7 linked regions of the Mus musculus genome follow. The protein of the gene in region 3 binds, or shares a complex with, the protein of the main gene of each other region. Links are inferred from orthologs where the notes say so. Each region holds a gene or a part of one and is shown on either strand. Other genes may lie near its edges. The genes, in order: Phf10, Dpf1, Arid1a, Actl6b, Smarcd3, Smarce1 and Smarcb1.

Region 1 (3,500 bases), on a different chromosome or scaffold from region 3:
AATTTAAAAATTCATAGCCACCTGATAAACATCCTGAAATGACTGGGCACAAGAGCATGTTCCTTCCTTCCTGGTTTCTCTGTGTGTTTCTATCCTGCAGAGGCCCAGGCTCTCTCATACATACCCCATATCTTCCTAATGTGGTTTCATTCAGGCAGTGTAGTTTGCAAGACTGGTTGCACTGCATGTGTGTACACATGTTATCATACTGTGTATGCATCAGTAGACACATGATCAGTATGTGCACACAATCACACACACTCCATGTCCACGGCACATGTGTGCAAACGTGGGTAAAGTCCATGCATTTCCTCATCGTCTTTACACGACATTCTTTGGTGTAACTGTATCACCACAGTAGATAAAGATTTATTTCTAAATTCTGCACCATTAAAATCAGCATTTTTTTCTACTTAAATTTTGCTAACATCTAATTAAGTCCTTAGAATTAACTTTGTTAACAAATCTGCCAGGTCAAAATCTGTGAAAAAACTCTGGGTATGCTGTCAAAATGCTTTCCTCAAATATTCGATTAATTTATATTCCACAGAGCAATGTGATAAAGTTGGGTTCATCGTTATTTACTTCCATAGCTAGCTCCTCTCTGGTACCTGACAGGAGAGGCAGCACCAAGTGAACATGGGCAGAACCTGCTTTCATGGAGCACATAAGATTAAGTATGTGTTAGAAGCTGTTGTAGACAAGGGAATGCTACTCAATGAAAACAAACATTTGGGTGGCTACACTCTAACATATATAAGAGCCGTGGCTTAATGTGTATTTCTGCAAAAAGTCACAACCATAAACCACCTCAGGGCTACTGCCCTTCATGCTCTGAGAGCCAACATCCTGCTTTTTAGCAGCTAAATTTTTGATACGAGTTCTCTCTTCAGCAGCACATATACTAAATTTTTTGTTCAAAAAAGGCACCCCAAAAAACTAAATATCCTACACGTTAGTAAACTAACATTTTCCTACAGGAAGCCCAGATTAAGCAAAGGAGCCCAGGGTAATGTGTGCTGCCCCGGCCAAGAAAATGACGTTTCTCTGTGGCAAAGATCAGTCTATTTTGCTCAGTATTTTAATCTGCATAAACAGCATGTTGGGTAGAAGAATATTAATATTGAATACAATTCCCTATCTTGCTCAAAATAGTTTTTTAATATAAAATTTGTCTCCAAAAAAAAGCAATGCAAAACCTATTTATATCAACACACACTAAATATTCTTGTGAAAATTTTCTAGAAATATAGGCGACTGTCCTAGTCAACCAGTCTGGTAATAGAGTTCAATTTAACGTTCCAGGAAAGCAATCAGCAAATAACCCAAGAGTCCTCCCCTGCAGGTGCACAGTCCTACCGAAGTGCCTTTATTCTTCCGCTTCTCATCCCCTCCGCCATCTTCGCCATCATCTGAGTCTCCATCACTATCTAGTGCCGGGAGCTCTGGGTCCAGGGGCGGCTCATACAGGGCTGTGTTTAATGGCAAGTACCGAAGCTCATCTGGTGAGTACCTAAGTTTAGAAAGGCTGCTTTCATTCTTCCTTGAATAGTAAATATGTAAAAACTACTAAATTTGCTTTATGCCTCTCACATATACTTCACACAAATGGGTAGGAAGAATTTCATTTTGGTCATCAGGTGGGGATAAATGATGCTTTTTCGCAATCAGAATATTTTTCTCCCCAACTCTTTCCCTTTACCCTCAAAGCAAGCAAACAATGATAACTGATGTGTCAGCAGACAGGAGTGGAACCCAGGCAGCCAGGACGTGCTCCTGCTCAGCCACACACCCGAGGCGTGGTGACTTGTGCACCGCATCCTTCCACTCACAGAACAGGCTCAGAGAGCCAATGTCTCAAGACTGACAGAATGACGGAACAATGTCATCAAGTGCAACAGTTAGATAAAAATTAGCAAACAGTTTTTAACAGCGACTACTTTAAGACACTGTACAGCATGTACTGCAACATTTAAGTCTCCCTTTGTACTGTCCTGTCCGGCTGCACGAAGCCCTCCTGGTCTCAAAGCGCTATTGTTCAGGAGCTACCTCAGCACTAAAACACCAGAGCAGAACAGACAAGGTGGAAGAATACCAACAGATTTTCAGAAATTTCTGGACTGAAAAAAATTTTTGAAGTTAAAAATTTACACAATTTAAATTAGAATATCAAACAGCAAGTGCTCTGCCTTGCTATAAATTGGGTTTTCTGCAGAACCCCTACTCTGAGAACTGGTCTCCAGAATGAAGTCTACTGCTGGAAGCAAAGCAGAGATTCTGAAACAAGAACAACCCATTTGTACTGGTTTGAAAGGGTTTTGGTTCCATGTAAGATGGAAACAGGAAGTAAGTACACTTCCAGGGGTGTGGCCATGTGTGCCGCCATGGCACTTATCTGTCCCTTCTTTTCTCTCTCCTCCCACTGCTGTCACGTCACTCTCCACTCTGCATGTGTGAGCTCCACTCAAGTGAGGAGAGGAGAGGATCCTCATTTCACAGGCGCTTCCCGAGGATACCAAGCTCCGGGGCCATGTGCCACACAGAAAGCACTGGAGGCCGGCCCGTGCAGACAGGGCGGGCAGAGGCAGCACTCCTGACCTCACCAGCAGGCCTTCACTTCCAACAGAATGATGCTCTTTACACAGAACCCAAGAGGAAAAATGCAGACACAAATCCTACACATCTTTTGGTGTCACTGATAAACATAAATTTCTAGGAGGCCCAAAAAGCAATGATAATGAAAGTACTGACTACCTCTTATAATACTCCTGGAACTGTCCCGGGATGAGAGCCACTGGGTAGGAACTGACCTTCGTTCGGTCTGTCGGCAACACTTTGTACTTTCCTTGAGGCACTTGGATAACCTGTGTTAAGATCAAGAAATGTGAAAACTGATTCCAACCTGGGAATCAAGGCTTCAAGAAAAGAATCCCCATGTGTACACGACATCCATGTCCCCACACTATAGAAAAGCTAGCAATGTAACTAACACAGTAGCAGTGACCGAGGGGATAGGTGGTGCCTCCCAGCTGTGTGCTTGAGTTCTGTGCTTTACTTCCGTGCCTGTTATTCACCATGTGCACAGGCTCTGAAGGAAGGCAATGTGAAGTCTCTGGCTCACCATGGTCTTTTGTGAAGTGTGTAATTTCTTTGTAGCTCACCTGGCTCCTTCTATGAAATGTAGGGGACATTTGTGTAACCTCACAGGACTTCCATCAAAACCAAATAGACAAGCTCAGTGTGCTGCTCTTACCCACCCTCTAGGGACATGGGAGTTAGATACATAGTGTTCACCTTGCTCGGTAAACTCAATCATAAAGCAGAGAGATTTCAGAAAGAAGAAAAGGAAGGAGGGTGGAAGGTGAGAGGCAGGAAAATGGTACCTTAACTTCTATGAGAAAATAAACACAGCTAGCATAATAATAATAATAATAATAATAATAATAATAATAATAATAATAATAATAATAGACAGTGACCATTCTGCAGTAACAAAAGAG
Region 2 (3,500 bases), on a different chromosome or scaffold from region 3:
CGCCTGTCCTTGGGACTGCCTCTGCTGCCGGGGTCTGTGGGAAACTGAGCGGACTTGCTGGCACAGGAGGAACCAACAGTACGAGGTGCCATGGCTTTGTGCTCTCCCCGGGTGGAGAGTAGAGAGAAGTTAGGGAGGCATTGTGGGTAGGGGACAGAGCTATGGGAGCAATGAATTGCACCGCCTAGGTAGTGGGAATAGCAGGATTGTGTTCTGTAGAACTGTGGTTAATATAATGTGGTTTTCCATGGAGGCCTCCTGGGTAGTAAGACTGGTCGCATCAGCATCGTGGGTAATGGATTGTGGTCGTTACAGTGTGGGTTGTCTTTGCGATTTAATACAGTAGAATGTGGTCATTATGTCTTGGTGGACTGTGGCTGTGAGGAGCTGTGGCTACTGGGCGCTGTGGGCTGACAGGCTGTGTGGGCTGTTGGTGTCTGGCTCGGGGGGATGTAGTTGTAACTGTTGGGTGTTGTGGGCAGTGGCTGTTGAATGATATGGGTAGTGGTTGTCAGGCTCTGTGGGAAGTGCTGTGGGCAGTGGCTACAGGTGTCTCCGTACTGTGGGAGAATGACTGAGCAAATTCCCACGGCAAGCATTGTCAGTGGAAGTTTGTTTGCTGGTGCCTTGTGTGGGCTGGCCTTTGGTCTCAGCGAAGCAAGGTGTGGGGACCCTGTTATGGAGCTTGGTTGCCATAGTGTCCTGGCTGGCAGAAGTTGGCTGCCACGTTGCTGTGGTTAGCAGGAGGGCTGGCAGCCCCTCTGTGGGTATTGGAATGTGGCTGCCCTAGTGCGATACCTAACAGACTGTGGTGGCCACAGTGTTGTGGGTGGTAGAACGTGGTTGCCACAGCACTGTGGGTAATGGAATGCGGTTGCCATGGTGTTCTGGGGAGCAAAGTGTGGTTGTCATGGTGGCTGAGTAGGAGACTGTGGTGGCCAACACACAGCTGCCTGCCACGCAGTCCAGCTTCCGGATGTCTGTCTCAGGGGTAGGGTCCCACCACAAAGCTCGCCTTGACCTCAGAGTCAGGGCTTGGGATAGAGCCATTACCTCCCCAGGGGTCAGTAGCCACCAGGGATATGACAACTCACTAACTGCATCCCTGCCCCTCGACCCCCAGGACATCCCTCGTGTTTACAGTTCACGGTGAACATGACCGCGGCTGTGCGGACCTACCGCTGGCAGTGCATTGAATGCAAGTCCTGCAGCCTGTGTGGCACCTCGGAGAATGACGTGAGTGCCCACCCCATCTCCCGGGCACATCCCCAGCTTCCCTTCCGGCCTGCCTCTGCCACTCTGCCCATGAGGCCTAAAAGTCTTCCTTGTTCATAACTCCCAGTGACCAGCATTAGCGTGCAGTACGGTTGCCACCGTCCTTATTCTTTTATATTCTTTCCCATGACACCTCCCCACCTCCCTTGAGGCTGGTGCTCCTGTTCCCACTACACATAGAAGATGCTGAGCTCAGGGAGGGAGAAGGAGGCCTGAGGTCACCAAGGTCAGAAGGTTGTAGGGCCAGGATTTGAACCTCCGGAGTTGGTATCTGGCCCGCTGAGCATCACTCAGTACAAAATCCGACTCCGTGAGTCGTCAGACAAGGCCAGTGGACTTCCACAGTACAGGCTGCAGAGCCAGTTTTCTCAGAAGGGCCCCTGGGACCCAGCCCCTGCCCCAGCCCCCCACCCCGGTTTCTGGTGCCCGTGCCCCCAGGGTGCCAGCTGGGCGGGTCTCACCCCCCAGGACCAGCTGCTGTTCTGTGATGACTGCGATCGAGGTTACCACATGTACTGCCTGAGCCCTCCCATGGCGGAGCCCCCGGAAGGTGAGGGAAGGGGTGGGCGAGACATGGGGTGGGTGGGTTGGAACGTTGTCTTCCTGGTGGCAGAGACCATGTGCTCCGGGTGGGGACAGGTGGGGGGCGCTCTTCATCTCTCCATCGGGCTCCAGTCTAATTTTGTCTCTTGGCTTCCCCCGCAGGGAGCTGGAGCTGCCACCTCTGTCTCCGGCACTTGAAGGAAAAGGCCTCTGCTTACATCACCCTGACCTAGGCCCGGCTCTGCTTCCCCAGGATCTTTGGGTGGTGCTATCTCCTGCCTCTTGGAGCTCCTGGCGCTCCCCACCCGGTGTCCCCAGTGGAAGGGATGGGGTGAAGCCCAGAGTGGGGGGGGGCAAGGTGTTCTCCCTCTGCAAGTGGAATGTTACCCTGTGGGTGGCTGGGTCCAACAGGGTCCCTCCTGTCCCCCCTCTTCATCCCTTGACAAATGGGCACCAGGCTTCTGCTCTCCTCAAAGCCATACCCCCGCCTTTGGGCGGGCATAGAGGGGTAGTGGATGCTAGCCAGCAGCACGGAAAGAGCCTTTTTCTAAAGAAAAAGACAAAACGTGGAAAAAAAAGGGAAAAAAATTAATATATACAAAGAGTCCTATAAAGCCTGGCTGGGTGGAGAGGCACTGTTGAGTGTCTGCTGGGGACCTGACTTTACCAGTTTCCTGAATGGCGCCTCCCCACCTCATTTCTGGAGTTGCAATGGTCTCAACTCCCATCTGAGGTGGGTACCACCCCTTCCTCAGTACCCACCGTGGATACTGCATGTGAACTATGGTTTTGAACTCTTCCTCCTCCTCCTTGAGAGCCCCGCCCTGCGCCCGCGTGGTGCCTGCCTGCCAGGCCTGGGGCGTGCAGCCGGGGAGGCGGGTGGGGTGAGGCAGGCAGGCAGCCAGCCCCCTGCAGTGAGAAGCACAGATTGCAATGGACTCAGTTTTTTTTTTTTTTTTTTTTTTTTTTCCTTTCTCCCTTCCCACCCCTTTCCTTCCCTACCCAGCCAGGCTGGGCTGCCTCCTGCCCCCCTCGCTAGCCATTTGGGGGTGGCAAGGGGGTGTGGTTGTTTCTCGTGGTTGTGTGTGTTTGTTGTTCGGGTTTTTAAAAGGGGAAATTGAGACTGCAAGTGGGGGAGGTGGAGGGTCTGGGGGAGTCTGCCCCCAATCCAGGAGTACCCCCCTTGCCACCAAGTCTCCTTTATTGCCTGCCTCTGCTGTGAATTAACTTGTTCTGTGTATTAAACTGGGCCTGACCCCTCTGCCCACAACTGCTTCCATCTCTAACCTCTTTTGGGGTGTCACCAACATGGGAAGCCAAGGGGCCTCACTGGGGTAGAAGCCACTGTGGCTGGCCCCCACCTCTTTGCCCCTACACCATGCCTCCCTGTGGCTTTGTCCCAGCTCCTCCCTGTCTTGCTGGAGAGAAGAGGGGGATGGGGTGGAGGGGCTCCCACCCAGCCAGCTGTGGTTGCCATAGCAACGGGCTGCTGCAGCTGCAGCGGGAGGCAGCTCAAAGAGGGAGGTGGGAGTGAAGACTGGGGGGAAGGGAGGGCTGGAGAGACCAGAAGGCAGCCCCCTCCCTGGCTAGGGTTTGGGAGATAGCACCTCAGCATGGCTGGCTGTCACTTGGGATTCCCTGACCTGGGTGTGGTTAAAAGTGGAGGACAGGAGGACATCTCA
Region 3 (4,173 bases):
GGTTTTTGAACAGAGGTTCTTTCAGTCCCTGGAGCCTCTTCTGTGGGCTGTTTACAGTCTTCCAAGGTACTTGCCTTTGAAGATTGGGCTACTGGCCATTGTGAGCTAGGTTCCCTTAGGAAGTGCTAATGGAGCTTGGTTTGCCTGGAGGACTGTCTTAAGCCCCCAACGCATCAGTAGCCACCATTTTAAGAGAAGTGGTGGGATGACCACGTTTGATTTTCAAACCTCCTGACACTGATCTGATCCGGTGGTTGGATTTGTTCACAACGTAAGTGCCTTTCTTTTCTCTTTTCCTCCTTTTCTCTGGCTAAGTAGACAAGATGCGGCTTCGGCCACTCACTCCACTTTTTATAGCCACACACTTCTGCCCTCTGACTTTAAGTGACCTGGGCAGTCCCCTCCCTTCAGTCTGTTGGTAAAATGGGGGGGGGGGAGATAATCCAGACCTCATGCCCCCAGGGCCTTGTCAGAGAGGGCTAATGAGGGCAGGGCACGGGAGAACCGATAGTTTGAACAATGGTCAGTCCTCCTTTGGGGCTAGCCAAAGGGGGGGAAAAGCAGGGCTCGCTCAGCTGGGTCTCTAGAGCAGGTCTGCAAAAGGCTTTGAAGAAGAAAAGTGCTGCGGAGGTGCTAAGTCGCAGCCAAGAGCCCAGGCCCGGTGCCAGGGGGTCAGGTCCCGGCCGCGGCGGCCGCGGTTTCGGGCTCAGGCCAATTTTGCAGGCGCGGGTAAAGTTCACGCGGCCCGCTCCCTTTGGAGCGGCCGGGAGGGGACAGGCCAGGCTGGGAACGCGGCGAGCGAGGCGGCGCAGGCTCCGGAGGCGCGGGCTCCGGGCCGGGTTTTCCCCGAAGCCTTCGGCGGCGGCGCAGCCGAGCGAAAGAGGCTGAGGGCTTGCCGCCGCCGCCGCGGCTCCTTCTCTCCCCTCCTCCTTTGTGAGGGGAAGGGAGCGAGTCCATTCCACGGCCTGCGCCCGCTCCGCGCTCCAGTCCTGGTTTTTCAGGCGGCCGCGACGGCGCTGGGTAAAATGGCAGTGCTGAGCCTCGTGTCGGAGTGAGGGGGACTCGGAGGAGAGTGGGGCGCTCTAGCTGCTCAGTCCCGCCGCCCGCCCGCCCGCTCTCTCGTTCGCTCTCTCGCCCGCCCGCCCGCCGCCAAGCAGCAGCCTCGGCCCGAGCCGCGGCCGGGGAGGCGAGGCAGGGCGCCCGCCAGAGCAGCGCTCCTACTCTGCCTCCCGGCGCCCCGTCCGCCGCCGCGCGCCCTCCAGCCCGCCCGCCCGCCCGCCCGTCCCGGGTCCCCCCTCCCCCCCCGCTCCCTCCCTCCTTTCCCGCCCCCTCCCCCTCGCCTCCCTCCCTCCCTCCCTCCTCCTTTCTCCGGCAGCAGAAAGCGGAGAGTCACAGCGGGGCCAGGCCCTGGGGAGCGGAGCCTCCACCGCCCCCCTCATTCCCAGGCAAGGGCTTGGGGGGAATGAGCCGGGAGAGCCGGGTCCCGAGCCGCCAGAGCCCGGAGCAGCTGAGCCGCCGGCGCCTCGGCTGCCGCCGCCGCCTCCTCCTCCTCCTCCGCCGCCAGCCCGGAGCCTGAGCCGGCGGGGCGGGGGGGAGAGGAGCGAGCGCAGCGCAGCAGCGGAGCCCCGCGAGGCCCGCCCGGGCGGGTGGGGAGGGCAGCCCGGGGGACTCGGCCCCGGGGCGGGGTGGGAGGGGGGAGAAGACGAAGACAGGGCCGGGTCTCTCCGCGGACGAGACAGCGGGGATCATGGCCGCGCAGGTCGCCCCCGCCGCCGCCAGCAGCCTGGGCAACCCGCCGCCGCCGCCCTCGGAGCTGAAGAAAGCCGAGCAGCAACAGCGGGAGGAGGCGGGGGGCGAGGCGGCGGCGGCAGCGGCCGAGCGCGGGGAAATGAAGGCAGCCGCCGGGCAGGAGAGCGAGGGCCCCGCCGTGGGGCCGCCGCAGCCGCTGGGAAAGGAGCTGCAGGACGGGGCCGAGAGCAATGGGGGTGGCGGCGGCGGCGGAGCCGGCAGCGGCGGCGGGCCCGGCGCGGAGCCGGACCTGAAGAACTCGAACGGGAACGCGGGCCCTAGGCCCGCCCTGAACAATAACCTCCCGGAGCCGCCCGGCGGCGGCGGCGGCGGCGGCAGCAGCAGCAGCGACGGGGTGGGGGCGCCTCCTCACTCGGCCGCGGCCGCCCTGCCGCCCCCAGCCTACGGCTTCGGGCAAGCCTACGGCCGGAGCCCGTCTGCCGTCGCCGCCGCGGCGGCCGCCGTCTTCCACCAACAACATGGCGGACAACAAAGCCCTGGCCTGGCAGCGCTGCAGAGCGGCGGCGGCGGGGGCTTGGAGCCCTACGCCGGGCCCCAGCAGAACTCGCACGACCACGGCTTCCCCAACCACCAGTACAACTCCTACTACCCCAACCGCAGCGCCTACCCCCCGCCTCCCCAGGCCTACGCGCTGAGCTCCCCGAGAGGTGGCACTCCGGGCTCCGGCGCGGCGGCGGCCGCCGGCTCCAAGCCGCCTCCCTCCTCCAGCGCCTCTGCCTCCTCGTCGTCTTCGTCCTTCGCACAGCAGCGCTTCGGGGCCATGGGGGGAGGCGGCCCCTCAGCGGCCGGCGGGGGAACTCCCCAGCCCACCGCCACCCCCACCCTCAACCAACTGCTCACGTCGCCCAGCTCGGCCCGTGGCTACCAGGGCTACCCCGGGGGCGACTACGGCGGCGGGCCCCAGGACGGGGGCGCGGGCAAAGGCCCGGCGGACATGGCCTCGCAGTGCTGGGGGGCTGCGGCGGCGGCGGCGGCGGCGGCAGCGGCCGTCTCGGGAGGGGCCCAACAAAGGAGCCACCACGCGCCCATGAGCCCCGGGAGCAGCGGCGGCGGGGGGCAGCCGCTCGCCCGGACCCCTCAGGTACACAGCCGAGCGGGGAGGGGGCTGGGGCCAGCGGGGCCGGGGGGTGGGCTGGGTGGCGGCTGCGGGGAAGCAGGCCCCGGCCGTGGGCTCCCCTCGGGCTTGGGCCCCCACTGCCGGGGAGCTGCCATTGTCTGGCTCTTCTCTCTTAAAATGGCTGCCTGTCTGCCTTCCTCTCCTTCCCTCGATCAGCCTTTGTGTGGGGCTTTTCCAGGGGTGTCTGTCCGGTTTCTCCTCCTCCGCTGGTCCTTTCGAACTCTGGGGGTCTCCAGGGGGGTGCAGAGCAAAGTGTGCCTGGAAGGGCCAGGCCCGGTCGCGGGGGGGGGTGCTGGGGGTTCAGGTTAGGGGTGTAGGCAGTGTCATGAATCCGGGAGAAAGAAGCAACGTTTTCTTGCTCACCTGCCGCTCCTCTGATCCCCCTTGCCTTCCTCTAGGCCGTTCCCCAATATACGCTTTTAAAGAGTGGCCCCTAGGGCTCGGGGGACCTCGGGGGAGAGCTGGGGCCTGCTTGGGGGCAGCTCGAGGCCGACTGTGGTTCGCTCTGGGCCGCCGGGGCCACCTCTTGCCTCAGTCTCCGGCGGCCCAGTGGCCTGGGCTTCTCTCTGAAGTGCTGGTAAACACAGAGTGATTGGAGTAGTAAGTGCAGATTGCTTTGGTTTGGGATTTGAATTATGGAGGTAAAATCCTTCTGTCAAAGCCAGGAGACAGTTGGTCTTAGGTTGACATCCTATCTGTGATCTGATTGGCTCCCCATCTTCTGCTCTTGGCCATTTATAATTGCCTCTGATGTAATGGTACAACAATCCTGATGAGCTCATAAACTTTTACACTCTGCTTTTCTGCCAGTGATAACCCAAACCTTCGCTGCCACTATCCGCCTTTTATTCCAGAGCTGAAATTGGCTGTGACCTTGAGGAGGGAGGTTTAAGCAGCAATACTGTATCAGCAGGAGCAGAGTCCCAGACAGGCTGCCCTTGTTACATTGTGCCTGAAACAAAAGAGGAGGCGATGGCATTTTGCTTGCACCTTGGATTTATTTTGCTTGTTATGTTTTATGCAGTCTGAAATAGATTCTGTGTTGTTGGAACAGTAGCTGAGTTTTTCTCTACAATGGGTTTGCTGTTTGTTTTCGTTTTTGTTACTTTCCTGATGGTATAAATGAGTTCTTTGATGGCGCTGAAGATACATTTGTCTTGAGTAGTTTTTGACACTGTTCACTTATACTGTTGAGTTACAGAACTGAAATTATTTTACTGGCTATTTTTTTATGAAAAGCAAATGTA
Region 4 (4,114 bases), on a different chromosome or scaffold from region 3:
ACTGGCTGCTCTCTTCCGGAGGCTTTGGGTTCGATTCCCAAAACACATGGTGGCTCACAACCATCTGTAATGAGATTCGATGCCCTCTTCTGGTGTGTCCGAAGACAAACAGCGACAGTGTGCTCGTGTACATAAAATAAATAAATCTTTAAGTATATATACATATATATTATAATCTCAAAATTTAGAAATAGTAAAAAAGAAGGCTTGCTAGGTTAGCCAGGTGACTATATGTTAGCCATGAGCACTCACATGTTTATTATATGTTATGTACAAAGTCAAGAAGGAAAAATGGCCATCAGAAAGATGAAGGAAAGGGGCTGGAGATGCGGTTCATGTCTAACATGCTGAAGGCCTGGGTTCCATCCCCTGACCCTCATAAACTGGGGTGTTGGCATAGGCTTTGTAATCTTAGTACCCAGGAAGTGAAGGTAAAGAGACCACAAGTTCAAAGCCATCCTCATATATATATTAGTTTGAGTTTGGGCTACATGAGACCCTGTCTTAAATAAAAGAAAAGCCAGTTGTGGGCTGGGCAGTGGTGGCGCACGCTTTTAGTCCCAGCACTTGGGAGGCAGAGGCAGGCAGATTTCTAAGTTCGAGGCCAGCCTAGTCTACAGAGTGATTACCAGGACAGCCAGGACTACACAGAGAAACCCTGTCTCGAAAAAAAGAAAGAAAAGAAAGAAAGAAAGAAGGAAGGAAGGAAGGAAGGAAGGAAGGAAGGAAGGAAGGAAGGAAGGAAGGAAGAAAAAGGAAAATCTAGTCGTGTGCTGTACTGGAGGCAGCGGCATGGAAATCTCTCTGAGTTTGAGACCATTCTGGTCAAATAAATAAATAAATAAATAAGCCCAGAGACAAAGGTAAAAAGACACAGGAAGAGATGGAGAGGCATACTCCTCTGGTCCCTCAGTCTTCTCATCTCCTCATTTCTGTGATTGCATTTAGACTGAATGCGGTAGACTCTGGCTCAGGAGTCTGAGGATGGACATCTCTGGTTGAGAGGAGACCCCTCCCTCACCTACGTAAAAATATGAATAAATAAAAAAGACCAAGAAACGAGGGTCCCATGTCATCAGAAGGTCCCATTCCATCCGTTGCCCTGTGGAGTCCTCGTCTCCATCTCTTTCCTCTTTTCTCTGTGTCCATAGTCTTTGCAATTGGACCCTCGCCTCCTCCCAACCTCGGAATGAAGAAGCGGCTGTACCTTTAAAGCAGCGGCCCCCAGCCGGGTTATTGTCTCGCTTCATAACCAATCGGCCGCGCCGTTGGGGGCAGGGGATCCAGTGTTCTGATTGGCCGCCGCTGCGCCCCGCCCCGCCCGGGATCCCGGGAGCTGTCCGGCCGCCTCGGTGCTGATCCCGCCGCCGCCCACGGGCCGCGAGCAGCGTAGAGAGGGCACTATGAGCGGGGGCGTCTACGGCGGAGGTGAGCCGGCCTGGGGCACTGGGCTCTCGGCCTGGTCTACAGCCCTGCATCCCGAACCCGCGCGTCCCAAGCCCTGAGCATCCCTGGGCCTGTCACCTCCGTACTGCATCAGGTCCAGTCTGAGGTTTGGGTCTCCCACTACTTCTGCTTTCCATTCTCTTGGGGTTCCCAAGTGTACACTGCCTCTCGGGCCCTGGACCTTTCTTTTCCCTGCCAGGCCGCTAGGCAAGAGGGAACTCTGGTGGCTTTGACCCTCTACTTCCAGAACGCCCTGAAGTCCAGGTGGATCTCCCACCCACTCCCCGCTGAAGTTTAAACTGTGGCTATAACCCCAGAATCCTCTCCAAGCTATATAGGGAGACAGTTTGGGAGAGGTCTCCTCACAAGCCTGTCTCCTTGCACAGATGAGGTGGGGGCGCTCGTCTTTGACATTGGCTCTTTCTCAGTCCGAGCTGGGTACGCTGGGGAGGACTGCCCCAAGGTGAGCCTTCCAGTCCCCTCCCCAAATCCCAGGGGCTCGGACACCCTCTGCCAGGCGGGTCGGCCTATGAACAAATGCGCACAGGTCAATTCAAGTAGCTCACCTGAGTGGAGACAGGGGAAGGACCCCGGGGGTGGCTGAGGGCCTTGAGTGCAATTGAACCAGGGACTAGCAGGGATGATCCAGCTGGGCAGGGTAGTGCGTTCCTTTAAATCCCATCACTCTGGACGCAGAGACATGCAGATCTCTGTAAGTTCAAGTCCAGCCTGGTCTACAGCGACAGTTCCAGGCCAGCCAGAGGTTCACAGTGAGAGCCTGTCTCCAAAAAAGAAGGGAATAATCTAGCTCCCTGCTCATGTTCCTTGTAACCAGGCTGACTTCCCCACCACTGTGGGGCTGCTGGCCGCAGAAGAGGGGGGCGGGCTGGAGCTGGAGGGGGAGAAAGAGAAGAAAGGGAAGATTTTCCACATCGACACCAATGCCCTGCACGTGCCTCGGGATGGAGCGGAGGTCATGTCGCCCCTCAAGAATGGCATGAGTAAGGGACCCTCACCCACTACTTTCTGAAACAGACTGGGAGCCCCACGCCCAGTGTGTGGCTGCCGATCTCCATACCCACAGAACCTTGCTTGCTGCTGCCCAAGTCCCAAGGGTCTCACTGTTCCCTACAACTGCTGGGATTTCAGACCAGTTCCCCTAGAATTCTGGAACTTAAGGGGGGTGGTGCTTGTAAGCAGAAGTTGGACTCACCTACCTTCAGACTTGGCCTCCCTCCTTCCTTTACTTCCTGTCTCTGATCCTTGCCTTCCTTCCCACCTTCCCATCTATCTCTCCACGCTGGTCCTCTGTCCCTAGTTGAGGACTGGGAGTGCTTCCGAGCCATCCTGGATCATACCTACAGCAAACATGTCAAGTCCGAGCCAAACCTGCACCCAGTACTCATGTCGGAGGCTCCGGTGAGTGCCTCATCCAGACCCACGTCCAGCCCTGAGTCCCTGGAGACACATCCTTTCTGCCATCACCTCTAATGTGGAGTCGCTACTATCTGTCACTTCCCTTCCCTTTCCAGATTCGTCCTGCTCACACTGTCATCTTCTGTCACCTCCCTTCCTCCCTGGCTTACCCTCCATCCCGCCTTCTCTCTTCCAGCTCCATCCACTCCATTGCCCTGCGTTGTTCACACACACATTTTTTGGTCCATGTTATACATATATATGAATATTACCAATGTAGCTAAGTTGTGAGAGATCTTGCCTGGCATGCAAAAGGTTCTGGGTTCAAGCCTCGCTACTGAAGGGGGGAGGGGAAGTTACAGTTGTAATCCAAGCACTCAGGAGGTAGAAGCAGAAGGATCAGCAATTTAAATCAATATTCAACTACATAGTGAGTTCCAGGACAGTTGTGACTACATAGAGGCAGCCACCAGTTAACAATAGGTCCTCTGCTAGGGGTAGGATTTAAATGGATCATTTCATGCTAGGATTTCAGTTTGGATATATATATATATATATATTGTTTGCCCGTTTTATTGTTTGTTTGCTTATTTATTTGTGTGTGCACACACACATATGGCAAGGGACAAATTGCAGGTTCTCTCCTTTCTCCTGTGTATTCTGAGATTAAACTCAGGTGGTCTTGCTTGGTGGCAAATGTCTTCACCTACTGAGTTCTCTTGCCAGCTCCATTTGTCTGTTTCTGAGACAAGCTCTCCCTGTGTAGCTCATGCTGGCCTCAGACTTGAGATCCTCCTGAGGGCTGTGCTGACTGGTGAACACCACCAGATCTCACCCTATCCATATTTCTAAACATCACATATGTGCAATGCCCATGGAGACCAGGAGAGGACATCAGAGCCCATGGAACTAGAGCTAGAGGCCACCCACTGTGGGTGCTGGGAACTGAACTCGGGTCTTGCCAAGACCAAAGAGTACTCTTAACCACTGAGCCATCTCTCCAGCCCCTTTCTGTGTTTGTTTGTTTTGCTTTGTTGTTTGATTTTTTTTTTTTTTTGAGACAGTGTTTCTTTGGGTAGCCATGGCTGTCCTGAGATTAGCTTTGTAGACCAGGCTGGCCTTGAACTTACAGACATCTGTCTGTCTCTGCCTCCTGAGTGCTTGGATCAAAGGCATGTGTTACCATTGCCTAGCTCTCTGCATTTGAAAAACTGACATATTATTTTTGGTATGTGTGTGTGTTGTTTGTGTG
Region 5 (4,223 bases), on a different chromosome or scaffold from region 3:
GATACAGGCCAAATAGACTGGGAGAGCATTCCTCTGCTCCTTATCCTGACCCATGAAGACATTCTGAAGGGCCAAAGGTTAGGGTCCCTCGGTGCAATGGGTCTTGAGGGCTCAAATTGTATGTGTTCCCACAAGTTCCCTCAGGCATTGTCCCTCTCTCAGCGGCAGCCCCAGCTAGCCCATAAACCTGACCCTTGATTGTCCTGAAACCCGCGGACTCCTCCTTCAGAAGGTGGGGACAGGCGTGGCTTGTGGAATGGGCGGAGCTTGGGCTCAACCTAGGGATCTCAGGATTTGTCCCCTCCTTTCTGTTCTTCCTCCCCTCCAGGGATGGCCAGTTCTATCCACACTGTCCCATTTAGGGTTTCCTCGTCTTCCTACCCCACACTCCTGCTTTCTCTTCGGTTCTGGGGCGGACTTCACCAATCCCGAGCTCTCTGGGTCTCCGCGCCAAAGCCATCAAGCCCTGCTTGCCTCACCCTTTCCTCCTACCCACCCAAGTACCCACCCTGGATCCGCGCCATTCCTCACAATGTACTCCTCCTGTTCTCATGAGTCCAGTCCATGTCCCCTTTTCGGAAATATTTCCCCTATTGCCCTCACTTTCTCGCACAGAGACAAACAAAGACTCACAAGCCCAGAAATAGACTCCAACAGAGCTGAAAGACACAGGCCGTGTCCTGCCCCGCACGCACGCGCGCAGGCTCGGCGGCTCTTGTGAAGGGAAGCACACAGACTGGGCGTTTGTCAGTGCACGCACATAAACATCCACACCCACAGCCTCTGCGCCGTGCCACAAAAGGGTGCAGACACACGGTGTGCGAGACAAGGGCACACACATCTGCGGGCGCCCGGGAGCCCGCCTAGCCCGGCACACCCACCGCGCTGGCCCTGGGACAGGAGCAAGGCCTGCTTCGGGCTCGGGTTCCCCCCCAGATTCCTTCCAGCAAATGTTTCCCTACTTGGCCTGCCTGGTCCCAGGGGAAAGGGCCTCAGAAATGCTGCAGGAGCCACTTGGGGGAAAAAAGTTGGAACTGTCTGTTCCCTGCCTGGCCATGTCGGCGAATTCCCTAACCGAGAAACTATTTGTGGCGAGGGCAGAGTGGCTGGCGAGCCCCTTGTCACCTCCCGTGGTGTTCCCTCCCCGAGCCGCCACCGATGGGCCCCGGGCGGCCTGGGCGCAGCGCAGCTGCCCATCGCGCAGCCTCCGGGCAGATCGGCTCGTCTCGCCGCTTCTGTGCGCCGCTTGGACCACGCGGAGTGCACAGGAGGGCCGCTCCGTCCCCGGCGCGTCGCAGGCAGACCCCGGGCCGCCGGACTATTTCTGTCTTATCAGTGCAGGAATGCGGCAGCCGCGGCGGCGGCGGCGGCGGGCGGGCGGCGGCGGCGGCGTGGGCCGTGGGCCGTCAGGGCAGCCCTGAAGGGGCCCCCTCCCCACTCCGCTCGAGTAGAAGTGTGAGAGAGCCCAGCAGGACTCAGAGGGGAGAGTTGGAGGAAAAAAAAGGCAGAAAAGGGAAAGAAAGAGGAAGAGAGAGAGAGAGTGAGAGGAGCCGCTGAGCCCACCCCGATGGCCGCGGACGAAGTTGCCGGAGGGGCGCGCAAAGCCACGAAAAGCAAACTTTTTGAGTTTCTGGTCCATGGGGTGGTGAGTGGGGGAAAGTTAGCGGGGGAGGGTGAGCGAGCTGGCTCGGGCTGAATGGAGGGATGATCGGGAGGGGCCGCCGGCGCGCTCCGGCTCTCCCACCCCTTTGGTTGAGGGGCGCACGGTCACGGCCCAACCCTGGGACCTTGCGGGCGCCCTGGCATCCGAACACGTCGCCAAGCGGTCGGCTGGGGATGGGCGCGCGGCGGCCGGGAAGAGAGGCGTCGGCTTGGGTTCTTCTCAGGGGCAAGGGGTGGGATGTGGGCACCGTGCCTCCCCCAAGAGGGGGGTCCCCTCTGTAACTGACATGTCTCACATTCTTTTACTGGTGGGCTCAGGTGTTACCCCTGCCCTGGGGGTGGGGGTGGGGTGGTGACTCGAACACACAGCTAGGGCAGGGCTGCCTGTTGTCCCTGTTCATCCTTTGGGACAGGGTCACTCCGACTAGGTCTGAGCAGCTAGGAGCAGGTGACCTAAGAGCAAAAGCTCTCTGCTGAACAACCTCTGCATCCTAGCAGGAGGGCCTTGAGGACTTGGCCCTGCTGTCAGAGCTGAGAAGGGTCTACTTGTGAGACCTCAAGTTAAGCAGTCAGAAGATCTCCTTGGCAGGCTCAGCCACCAGAAGTTGATGACCTTAACACCTCAAAGGTGTGAAGGAGGGGCAGGAGTTGGGGACATGAGGCCTAGAAACCAAAGGGATAGTACTATACCGTTCTAACACACACACACACACACACTCACACACTCACGAAGACATGTGAGGAGTCTGAGGGTACCCAGGAACCTATTGAGGTGGAGAGCCTGCTGTGAGGAGCTCTAAGCCTGGGCATATGGAGGGAAGAGTCAGTCATATTTACTATGGCCAAATTTGGTTGTGACTCCAGGAAGCACCATTTCAGTGAGAGGCAAGGGCCCCCAGAATCTGACCCTTATGAGGCTGTTACTGATGGCAGGCTCCTGGGGGCCCCTAGAAGCCTTCTTCTCAGGGCCTCATTAGACCCAACAGTATCAGTGGCCTTGATGAATAGGAGAGTGGCTGATAGGGAAGAGGGCTTCTCTGTGGCAGCCTGTTCTCTAGCCATAGGGATCTCTGGGGTATAAATTCCAAGGCAGCCCTATGGGTTAGTGGAGTTACCAATCCTGACCTAGCTGCTTAAGAGTAGTTGCTTTAAAGACTACCATCCAGTGAAGAGGCTCTGCATATGGAATTGAATGTGGTCAACTTGGTAGTTCGGTTCTTGGATGATTAGAGTCCCCTCTATAGTGATGGAGAATGGCTAGGCTTGAGCTTCCACGCTGGTGACATTGGTGCTGTGAGTGACAGAGTCAGGTGGAATGGGGGAGGCAAGTTCAGGGACAGGCCTGTTTGACTATAGAAGAGATGGGCAGAGACAGCTGCTTGGCTCTGGGTGGAGACCTCAGAGGTAAGCAATGTAAGAGGAGAAAGGAAGCCCAGGGTTAGGGTTAGGGCTTCTTAATCCAGGGGGCAAGATGAGAAGGGTGTGTGTGTGCATGGCCTTCTGTAGCCCAGGCTGGCCTCAAATTCACTATATATCAGAGGGTGGTCTTGATTTTCTGCCTTCACCTCAAGATTAGGATTATAAGTATGTGCTATCATGCCAGGCGGTGGTGGCGCACGCCTTTAATCCCAGCACTCGGGAGGCAGAGGCAGGTGGATTTCTGAGTTCAAGGCCAGCCTGGTCTACAGAGTGAGTTCCAGGACAGCCAGGGCTACACAGAGAAACCCTGTCTCAAAAAAAAAAAAAAAAAAAAAAGTATGTGCTATCATGTGCAGTTTATTTGATGCTGGGGATCGAACCCAGAGCACCACATGTATTGCACAAGCCCTTAACCAAGCTACATCCCTAGCCTGAGATGGTAGTGTTTAAATAATAGGGGTTTCATTCCCCTCTCCCTAATACCCTTCCTGGTCTAGGTCCCCAAGCCTCAGCCCCCTTCCTGGGCTTGGACAAGTGAAATCTGAAACACTCCACTTGCATTCACATCTCATCTCTTTTGATTGACTGCCCAGAGCTGGTGGCCAGAGAAAATCAACCTGCCTCATTTCCCTCCAATTTCTACCCTTTCTGGGATATTGTGAGGAATAGGTTGTCTCTGATGTGGGCAGATGGGAGGGGGAAATGGATACTGCTACAGATGCTGCTTCCTTCACATCCCTGCACTGGCAGTCCACTTCTAGTCCCGTTCCCCACTTGCCACTCAAGAAAACCTGGCAGAGTTTGATGACACCAGACCCGCAGGTCCCCTTGCCCAGTCTCTTGTATCATCTTGGGAGAAATAAAATTAAAGAGGCAGGTTAAGTCAGTGGGTGTGGAGACCTGGAGTTAGCTGTACCAGTTATGTTTGAGATTGAGGTGCCAAAAGCAGGGGGCTCCGAAATGGAGATAGGGGCTCAAGTACAAAACACATCAGACCCAGAAGTGGGGTGTGGAAATGGAGAATGAGGGCAGGAGATCAGCCCCTCCCTCACCGCAGCGAAGCAGCGGGGAGCAGGGCCCGCCAGGTGCTGCCTTTGCCAGGAAGAGCAGGGTGACCTTGGTGAGGTCGCTGTTTTCTTTGA
Region 6 (3,500 bases), on a different chromosome or scaffold from region 3:
TATGGATTATTATATAATATTTTATTCTTGCAGGCAGCTTGTCAAAACAGTGGCAATTAACTGCTAAGTAAAACGTTAAATATCATGTGTTTAAAGTCATTTTCTTCTGATAAAAACATTTCTGAATTTGCAGTGATGTCTATTTTCTTTGGAGGAAATATAAGGATCTTGTATCCATGGACGAGTAGAAGAAAGGCGCATTAGAATTTTTAAGGGACTTTCTTTTCAGGTGGCAGTGAGCTCCTTGCAGTTGAATAATGAGTATATTTCACTCTTTTACAGGCGTCCTCTGGCATTACGATTCCAAAGCCTCCAAAGCCACCAGATAAGCCGCTGATGCCCTACATGAGGTACAGCAGAAAGGTGGGTGCCGGAGAGCTCCGCCTATGGCCTTACGTGCAATTTCAGGCTGGCTTGCCGTCTTCTTTATACATATTTGAGGGAAGAATTTTAAAACTTGTACTTTTTTAAGTAGTTCATTCTCATTCAGAAATCCAGAACTCAGGAGCATGGTTAAATTAACTGCTAAAATCTTTTTAAACAGATTAGTCTGCAGCCATGAAAGTGATATCTTTTTGAGAATATTGGAAAACATGAGAAGAATGTTAAATAGAAAGTAGAGTATAAGACTGTATATATTAATATCTTACAGTGGCGCACGCCTTTAATCCCAGCACTTGGGAGGCAGAGGCAGGCAGATTTCTGAGTTTGAGGCCTCTACAGAGTGAGTCCCAGGACAGCCAGGGTTACACAGAGAAACCCTGTCTCGAAAAAACCAAAAAATAATAACAATAATAATAATAAGTCTGGGAGTAGTTCAGTGGTAGAACACTTGCCTGACTACAGTAAGCGCTTAGGTTCAATTCCAAGAGTACCAAGTGAATTCATAAGTACAGTAAAAATATTGATCATAGTTAATACATATGTGTTTGGTAGTATGACAAATTAACTACCTTGAATTGACTTGAACAGTTAGAGACTTAGAGTTCATTTAATTCTCTACGAGTGTGAGCAGTGATTAGTGGTGCCCTTAGCTTAATCAGTTTCAAATATTTATGAGCAACTGACAGTGGTGAGTAAGATCCAGTGGGATAAGGAGGGCATGGGGTAAGCCAGCTGTTGGCAGTTTTGAAACAGGCTGATTGCTACAAAGGAGTTTGATACTGTCTTCTTTGCTTTTTCTTGTATTTAAACGTTTCCATATTAGAGTGTTTTTAAATGACTATATACTTAGGCACTAATATTGAATTTTCAACTATTGACTTTTTAAGGTCTGGGACCAAGTAAAGGCTTCCAACCCTGACCTAAAGTTGTGGGAGATTGGCAAGATTATTGGTGGCATGTGGCGAGATCTCACTGATGAAGAGAAGCAAGAATATTTAAACGAATACGAAGCAGAAAAGGTAGGAGGACTGCCTTGGCTTATTATTTATAAAAGAAACCAAGCGTGACCAGATGGCTGAGCCACACTGCAGTTTTGTCCACCAAGCTTCACTCATCTGAGTGGCACATTCTTTGTTCTGTCCCGACATCCTGTTTTACCTCTCCCTCTGATGTTCAGAGGGACAGTGCAGGTGGCCTGTGGAGTAGAATGGACATTATAAAACCAGCCCCTTTGACTTTCAGATAGAGTACAATGAGTCTATGAAGGCCTACCATAATTCCCCTGCGTACCTTGCCTATATTAATGCAAAAAGTCGTGCGGAAGCTGCATTAGAGGAAGAAAGTCGACAGAGACAGTCTCGCATGGAGAAAGGAGAACCTTACATGAGCATTCAGCCTGCTGAGGATCCAGACGGTAAGGTGGAAAACGGGGCTTTGTATATGTATTCTCTCTGAATTAGAAAAGAAATTTAGTTCAAGGCATTTTTATTCTTTTAAATGGAAAAGCATAATTTTAAGTCTTTTTGTTGTAGTAAGATTTTAAGTAGTAAGATTTTTGCGTGTGACTTTCTCATGGAAAAAATACTCCTTACAGGGTGGAAAATTATCAAAGAAAAAAAGCTGTATTTATTACTTATCAAAGTCTTTATACTCAGAATAGAGGATTTGTTTGATTTTCGAGACAGGGCCTCACTGTGTTGCCCAGACTTACCTGATTCTCCAGTCCCAGCTTCCAAATTCTGGGATAAATTTTTGCTGACACACCCTATCTTTGGTTTTTCGAGACAGGGTTTCTCTGTGTAGCCCTGGCTGTCCTGGAACTCACTTTGTAGACCAGGCTGTCCTCGAACTCAGAAATCCGCCTGCCTCTGCCTCCTGAGTGCTGGGATTAAAGGCGTGCGCCACCACACCCAGGTGACACACCCTGTCTTAATCAGGGTTTCTATTCCTGCACAAAACAAGCAAGCTGGAGAGGAAAGGGTTTATTCAGCTTCCACATTGCTGTTCCTCACCAAAGGAAGTCAGGACAGGAACTCACACAGGACAGGGACTTGGAGGCGGGAGCTGATGCAGAGGCCACAGAGGAATGAGTGCTGCTTACTGGCTTGCTCTGTAGATTGACCTTGAAGGCAGAGATCCCCATGGCTCTGTCTCCTGTGATGCTGGGATTAAAGGTGTGTACCAACATGCTTGGATCTAAATTTAGCTGGATGGGATTTTACCCCCAAATCCCTTAATGTCTTATTTCCTAGAACATACAATTCAGCTCCATTTGACTTCCTGGTGTCCCTTTAATACCTGAACCATATATTTTATGTTTTTCCTTTCTTTTTTTTTTTTTTTAGGTATTTTCTTCATTTACATTTCAAATGCTATCCCAAAAGTCCCCCAGACCCTCCTCATGTTTTTCCTTTCTAAGCTTGCTGCCCTTATTCAAAATGCTCTTCATGAGACTTAACCAGGGAACAAAGTCTCTACTGGGCTTTTTGAGACTTCCTTTGTCAGTGCAGTTAATATAAGTTCTCTTTACCTTAGCCTCAGGTAGACTCTTCAGGCAAGGGCAAAAAAGCAGCCACATTCTTTACCAAAATACCACAAAAACAGTCTCTAGGCCACATACTGAAATTCTTCTCCACTGAACCCCTTGGGCCAGGTCCGCATAGTTCAGATCACTCTCAGCAACAGTCTTCCATATTCCTACTAGGATGGCTCATTAAGCCCCACTTAAAGCATTCCAATGCTTTCCAAATCAAAAGGCTATCTGGTGTGCAGCCCTGTGGAAGGGTTGTTCGACATACACCTGGGTCATACACCACAGTTCTAGGAGGACATGAGAGACGGAAACGTGCAGAAAACCAAGACACAGAAGCCTTGTCTGGCCTTGTCTGTGAGGGCAGCATCCACTGGCTTCTTAGAGGAGTGTCAGAAGGTCCACAAGACTAACCTTGACTCACACCTCCATAGTCAGGGCTTTCTAAATGATTCTTCAGCAGCAAGCAAGCCTCTGTATGTAGCAGGGTTTCTTTCCTAAAGCACGGTCCCTGCATCTGTCTGAAGTGCGAGAAGGATTAGGTCTGGATGGAGAGATGGCTCAGCAGTTAAGAACACCAACTGGT
Region 7 (3,500 bases), on a different chromosome or scaffold from region 3:
TGGATGGCCCTCGGTCCCTTTGTCATAGAAAATGAATTCAGTATTCAGACAGATGGGCAGACACAGTAACAGTAGCAGCTGTGTCTGATGTCTGTGGAGCTGCTTGGGGAGGATGCTCTCAGTGGATATGACTGTGCCCCTGTCATCCTGTCATCTGCCACAGGAGAAATCAATGTCCAAGTCCAGAATCTTTATTTAGTATTCCAAAGAGGGCCAAGTGGCCCAGCCTGGTGTTAGGGTTTATGGTACAGGACCCTCGCTGTAGCCATGGGGGACTACTTTGCAGTGCATTCCTTTAGTCCTAGTACCCAGTAGGCCCACCTTTGTCAGTTCAAGGACAGCCTGGTCTATATAGTGAGTCCAGGCCAACCAGGACTATGTAGGAAAAAAATAGCTGATCGTATTGCTAACTTTTTTCTAAATTTGTTTGTTTGTTTTTTGTTTTTTGAGACAGGGTTTCTCTGTGTAGCCCTGGCTGTCCTGAAACTCACTCTCTGTAGACCAGGCTGGCCTCTAACTCAGAAATCCGCCTGCCTCTGCCTCCCAAGTGCTCGGATTAAAGGTGTGCGCCACCACTGCCTGGTGCTAACTTTTTTCTAAATATGAATGGAAACAGTACTTTTACCTTTGGGTGATAATGACCCACAAGCCAAACAGCAACAAGGAGTCTTCAGTGTTCTGTATAGACTGTTTGGCTCTTGGGCTTAACAGCTCTGGCTGTTGGTCATGGAAATCTTTTCTGGAAGGAAAGTGCAGAGACTACTTTCACTTAATAAATGTATGCTAGATACATAGATACGATTAAAAGAATAATAGAAATGATCCTTTCTAAAGCAGAATCCAGACTTGAGGGCTTGGTGTGGCTGTGCGTGCCTTTAATCCCAGTATTCTGTGAGCAGAGGCAGGTCCAGTCCATCTCTGATTCAAGGACAGCCTTGTCTACATAGTGAGTTCTTGGCCAGCTAGGGCTACATGGTGAGAATCTGTCTTAGGGGAAAAATGTCAGGGTTTTTAAGCACTTGACAGGTGAGTAACAAGGCCTAGATTCACTGTCAGAGTGAGCACCTCACACCCATCTATTGGTTGTCCTCACAGTGTGACTCTGAAAATAGCATTTCTGAATAGTCAGTGAGACCGTAGCATATCTTTAAAAAACCCACAGGACAGGCTTCTTATGAAGGCCATATTTACAGTATCACTACAAACAAACTGACGCTGTTACTTGGGGGAAGTCGTGATTTATAGGATAGGCTAGGGATTACTAATATAGTGCTTTTTTTAGACTCTAGAAAATTCTTTGGCATCTCTGGTTTGAGTTTTATTACTAAACAAAGCAACATAGGCAACGGGACAAATTATCTTGCATCTGCCTAAAATTAAAGACTTTTTGGTGTTTATTGGCTTGTAAAAATATCAAAGTCTGCTTCTTAAGATGAAAGAAGGTCACAGGAGTCTTACATTTCAGAACAGTGCCAACATCTCTAGTCAGGTCCGAATCACAAGCTTCTTACTGAGCTCTGGGATCCTCCCTTGGTTCTGAAGTCAGGAGACACAGATGCCAACCAGATGTGCACTGCTGGTGAACCCTTGATGTCAGCAGAATGTGCTTGCTGACAGCCGAAAGCCTGGCGCCTGGAGGCATTGTCTCAGTGTGGTGCTAGGTAGCCCGACCCTCATAATGAGCCTTCTTGCTTTACCCATAGGTGGGAAACTACCTGCGTATGTTCCGAGGTTCTCTGTACAAGAGATACCCCTCACTCTGGCGGCGACTAGCCACTGTGGAAGAAAGGAAGAAAATAGTGGCATCGTCACATGGTAAAAAAACAAAACCTAACACTAAGGGTGCGTCTTCACGAGGGTTTGTAAACCTGTTTCAAAACCACTCGCTTATGTCATGAAGATAAAACGTTTTCACTCCAGTGTCTTCATTGCAGCCTGACCTTAGTTCGGGAGGGAGCATCCTGGGGCGGGCCACCCTGCCAGAGCACACACACCTCAGGTGAGAGTGGCTCAGGAATAGAGTCTCCCGTACTCCACTGTTGTATGTTCCTGGCTGGGGCAGTGGGTGCGTGAGGGACTGGGGCCAGGGCAGTTGCAGGTGCTGTGAAGACATGTTGGTCTCAAAACGTTTTAGGAATGCTGAGATTTGCTTCATTTGCTGTGAGTGTGTTGCTGTAGTCATCCTTGTAGATGGTGGCACTCTCTTTCCTCTGGGCCTTTTACCACTTCCCTCCCTCAGCACATCCATCCTGTAAATACTTCATCTTGACAACCAGTGTGCTAAGCTCACATGCATGTACCCATTCCGTGTGGCAGGCCCTGTGCCTGGGGCTTGCCAGGTGAGCAGTCTGATGCTGGTGAAACTAGTGCGAGCTCTGGGCTGTGGCAACTCTGTGCAGCGTGACGCTGCTCTTCGTATATTTTGGCGCCTCCAGCATATGGGTTTGGGTATGGGTGCAGTATGACATCTGGCTGGTGGCAAAACTGCTTTCCACTCAGCAAAGACACCCTGTAGAGAGCTGCCCCAGGCCTGCATGCATGTGTGCATGCATGCATGCTTGCTCGCTAGCACTCTGTCGTCTGTCTTGTCTGTAGGTGCTAATGTAGTTTTGTCTATTATGGTAAACTGGGGGTTCTTTTAATGCAGGAGCCAGAGCTGCTTTTATTCACTACTAAAACATACCCACTGTTGCCTAAAACAGTTTTTCTTTGTATCCTTTGTGCCACAAGTGGAGGACAGTCACTAGTATGGTGACTGACTAGCTCTGCCTACCCTTCCTTGAGTTCCCATGAAGTCCTACTGGTCTTTCTGCTGTGTTCCTTCCTGCCCTGTAACCACGAGAGTCCTCCAGTGACGCTAAGCAGGTCCTGTCAATAACTCGCAGCTCTTGACAAAGGTGCTCTAGAAAAGCTGGGGCTCACGGCGTATGAAGTCTGTCTTATTTTCCAGACAGCACATCTGGACTGGCTCGGGGACGGTAACTTCTGCTTAAGTGAAACACTTCTTTCCAACTCTCTGGGCTCTTGTTTTAAAAGAAAAGTAGTCCTCTTTCATCCCGTCTCATACTTGCATTGTGTTTTAGATTGTGGTAGTGTCAGACCTCTTCCCACTGGGGTGTTACTCAGAAGCCTTCCTGGCAGCCACTAAGCTGCAGCTACTCCAAACATCTCTGCCTCTGAGCTAATGCTCGAAGGAGGCGAATTCCTCCAGATCCATCCCACCGGAGGCTTTCTCCACTAGAATGTCTAGGCAAAGCCTCAGGCCAGTTGCCCTTTTGGAAGACGCTAGCACTCAGCAGTAGTGAGTTTACACCTTGCTTTCCCAGCCTCCTGCATGTGAGGACCTCCTGTGCTGTATCCGTGGTTGGCAGCTTGTTCACACTGCTGCAGGATGACCGCAGTGGGGTCTCTCTGCTTACAGATCATGGATATACCACCCTGGCCACCAGCGTGACACTCCTGAAAGCCTCAGAGGTAGAAGAGATCCTGGATGGCAATGA

Evidence for each region.
Region 1: Arid1a (region 3) and Phf10 share a complex: the UniProt entries of both Homo sapiens proteins name them as parts of the neural progenitors-specific chromatin remodeling complex. The link is inferred for Mus musculus from reciprocal best matches to the Homo sapiens genes ARID1A and PHF10.
Region 2: Arid1a (region 3) and Dpf1 share a complex: the UniProt entries of both Homo sapiens proteins name them as parts of the neuron-specific chromatin remodeling complex. The link is inferred for Mus musculus from reciprocal best matches to the Homo sapiens genes ARID1A and DPF1.
Region 4: Arid1a (region 3) and Actl6b share a complex: the UniProt entries of both Homo sapiens proteins name them as parts of the neuron-specific chromatin remodeling complex. The link is inferred for Mus musculus from reciprocal best matches to the Homo sapiens genes ARID1A and ACTL6B.
Region 5: Arid1a (region 3) and Smarcd3 share a complex: the UniProt entries of both Homo sapiens proteins name them as parts of the neuron-specific chromatin remodeling complex. The link is inferred for Mus musculus from reciprocal best matches to the Homo sapiens genes ARID1A and SMARCD3.
Region 6: Arid1a (region 3) and Smarce1 share a complex: the UniProt entries of both Homo sapiens proteins name them as parts of the neuron-specific chromatin remodeling complex. The link is inferred for Mus musculus from reciprocal best matches to the Homo sapiens genes ARID1A and SMARCE1.
Region 7: Arid1a (region 3) and Smarcb1 share a complex: the UniProt entries of both Homo sapiens proteins name them as parts of the neuron-specific chromatin remodeling complex. The link is inferred for Mus musculus from reciprocal best matches to the Homo sapiens genes ARID1A and SMARCB1.

What each region holds. Positions count from the first base shown.
Region 1 is NC_000083.6:14,951,261-14,954,760, forward strand, and holds part of Phf10 (PHD finger protein 10), read right to left. Parts: intron 2,865-3,500; coding exon 2,755-2,864; intron 1,514-2,754; coding exon 1,360-1,513; intron 1-1,359. UniProt on the Homo sapiens protein: Involved in transcription activity regulation by chromatin remodeling. Belongs to the neural progenitors-specific chromatin remodeling complex (npBAF complex) and is required for the proliferation of neural progenitors.
Region 2 is NC_000073.6:29,314,501-29,318,000, forward strand, and holds the end of Dpf1 (zinc finger protein neuro-d4), read left to right. Parts: intron 1-1,123; coding exon 1,124-1,236; intron 1,237-1,713; coding exon of another isoform or gene 1,714-1,743; coding exon 1,744-1,825; intron 1,826-1,980; coding exon 1,981-2,051; 3' UTR 2,052-3,086; downstream 3,087-3,500. UniProt on the Homo sapiens protein: May have an important role in developing neurons by participating in regulation of cell survival, possibly as a neurospecific transcription factor. Belongs to the neuron-specific chromatin remodeling complex (nBAF complex).
Region 3 is NC_000070.6:133,751,186-133,755,358, reverse strand, and holds the start of Arid1a (AT-rich interactive domain-containing protein 1A), read left to right. Parts: upstream 1-1,373; 5' UTR 1,374-1,747; coding exon 1,748-2,890; intron 2,891-4,173. UniProt on the Homo sapiens protein: Involved in transcriptional activation and repression of select genes by chromatin remodeling (alteration of DNA-nucleosome topology).
Region 4 is NC_000071.6:137,552,232-137,556,345, forward strand, and holds the start of Actl6b (actin-like protein 6B), read left to right. Parts: upstream 1-1,314; 5' UTR 1,315-1,403; coding exon 1,404-1,428; exon of another isoform or gene 1,429-1,552; intron 1,553-1,832; coding exon 1,833-1,909; intron 1,910-2,281; coding exon 2,282-2,447; intron 2,448-2,764; coding exon 2,765-2,865; intron 2,866-4,114. UniProt on the Homo sapiens protein: Involved in transcriptional activation and repression of select genes by chromatin remodeling (alteration of DNA-nucleosome topology).
Region 5 is NC_000071.6:24,599,203-24,603,425, reverse strand, and holds the start of Smarcd3 (SWI/SNF-related matrix-associated actin-dependent regulator of chromatin subfamily D member 3), read left to right. Parts: upstream 1-1,423; 5' UTR 1,424-1,567; coding exon 1,568-1,645; intron 1,646-1,661; exon of another isoform or gene 1,662-2,290; intron 2,291-4,223. UniProt on the Homo sapiens protein: Involved in transcriptional activation and repression of select genes by chromatin remodeling (alteration of DNA-nucleosome topology).
Region 6 is NC_000077.6:99,217,518-99,221,017, reverse strand, and holds part of Smarce1 (SWI/SNF-related matrix-associated actin-dependent regulator of chromatin subfamily E member 1), read left to right. Parts: intron 1-282; coding exon 283-363; intron 364-1,271; coding exon 1,272-1,403; intron 1,404-1,626; coding exon 1,627-1,798; intron 1,799-3,500. UniProt on the Homo sapiens protein: Involved in transcriptional activation and repression of select genes by chromatin remodeling (alteration of DNA-nucleosome topology).
Region 7 is NC_000076.6:75,915,115-75,918,614, reverse strand, and holds part of Smarcb1 (SWI/SNF-related matrix-associated actin-dependent regulator of chromatin subfamily B member 1), read left to right. Parts: intron 1-1,703; coding exon 1,704-1,842; intron 1,843-3,421; coding exon 3,422-3,500.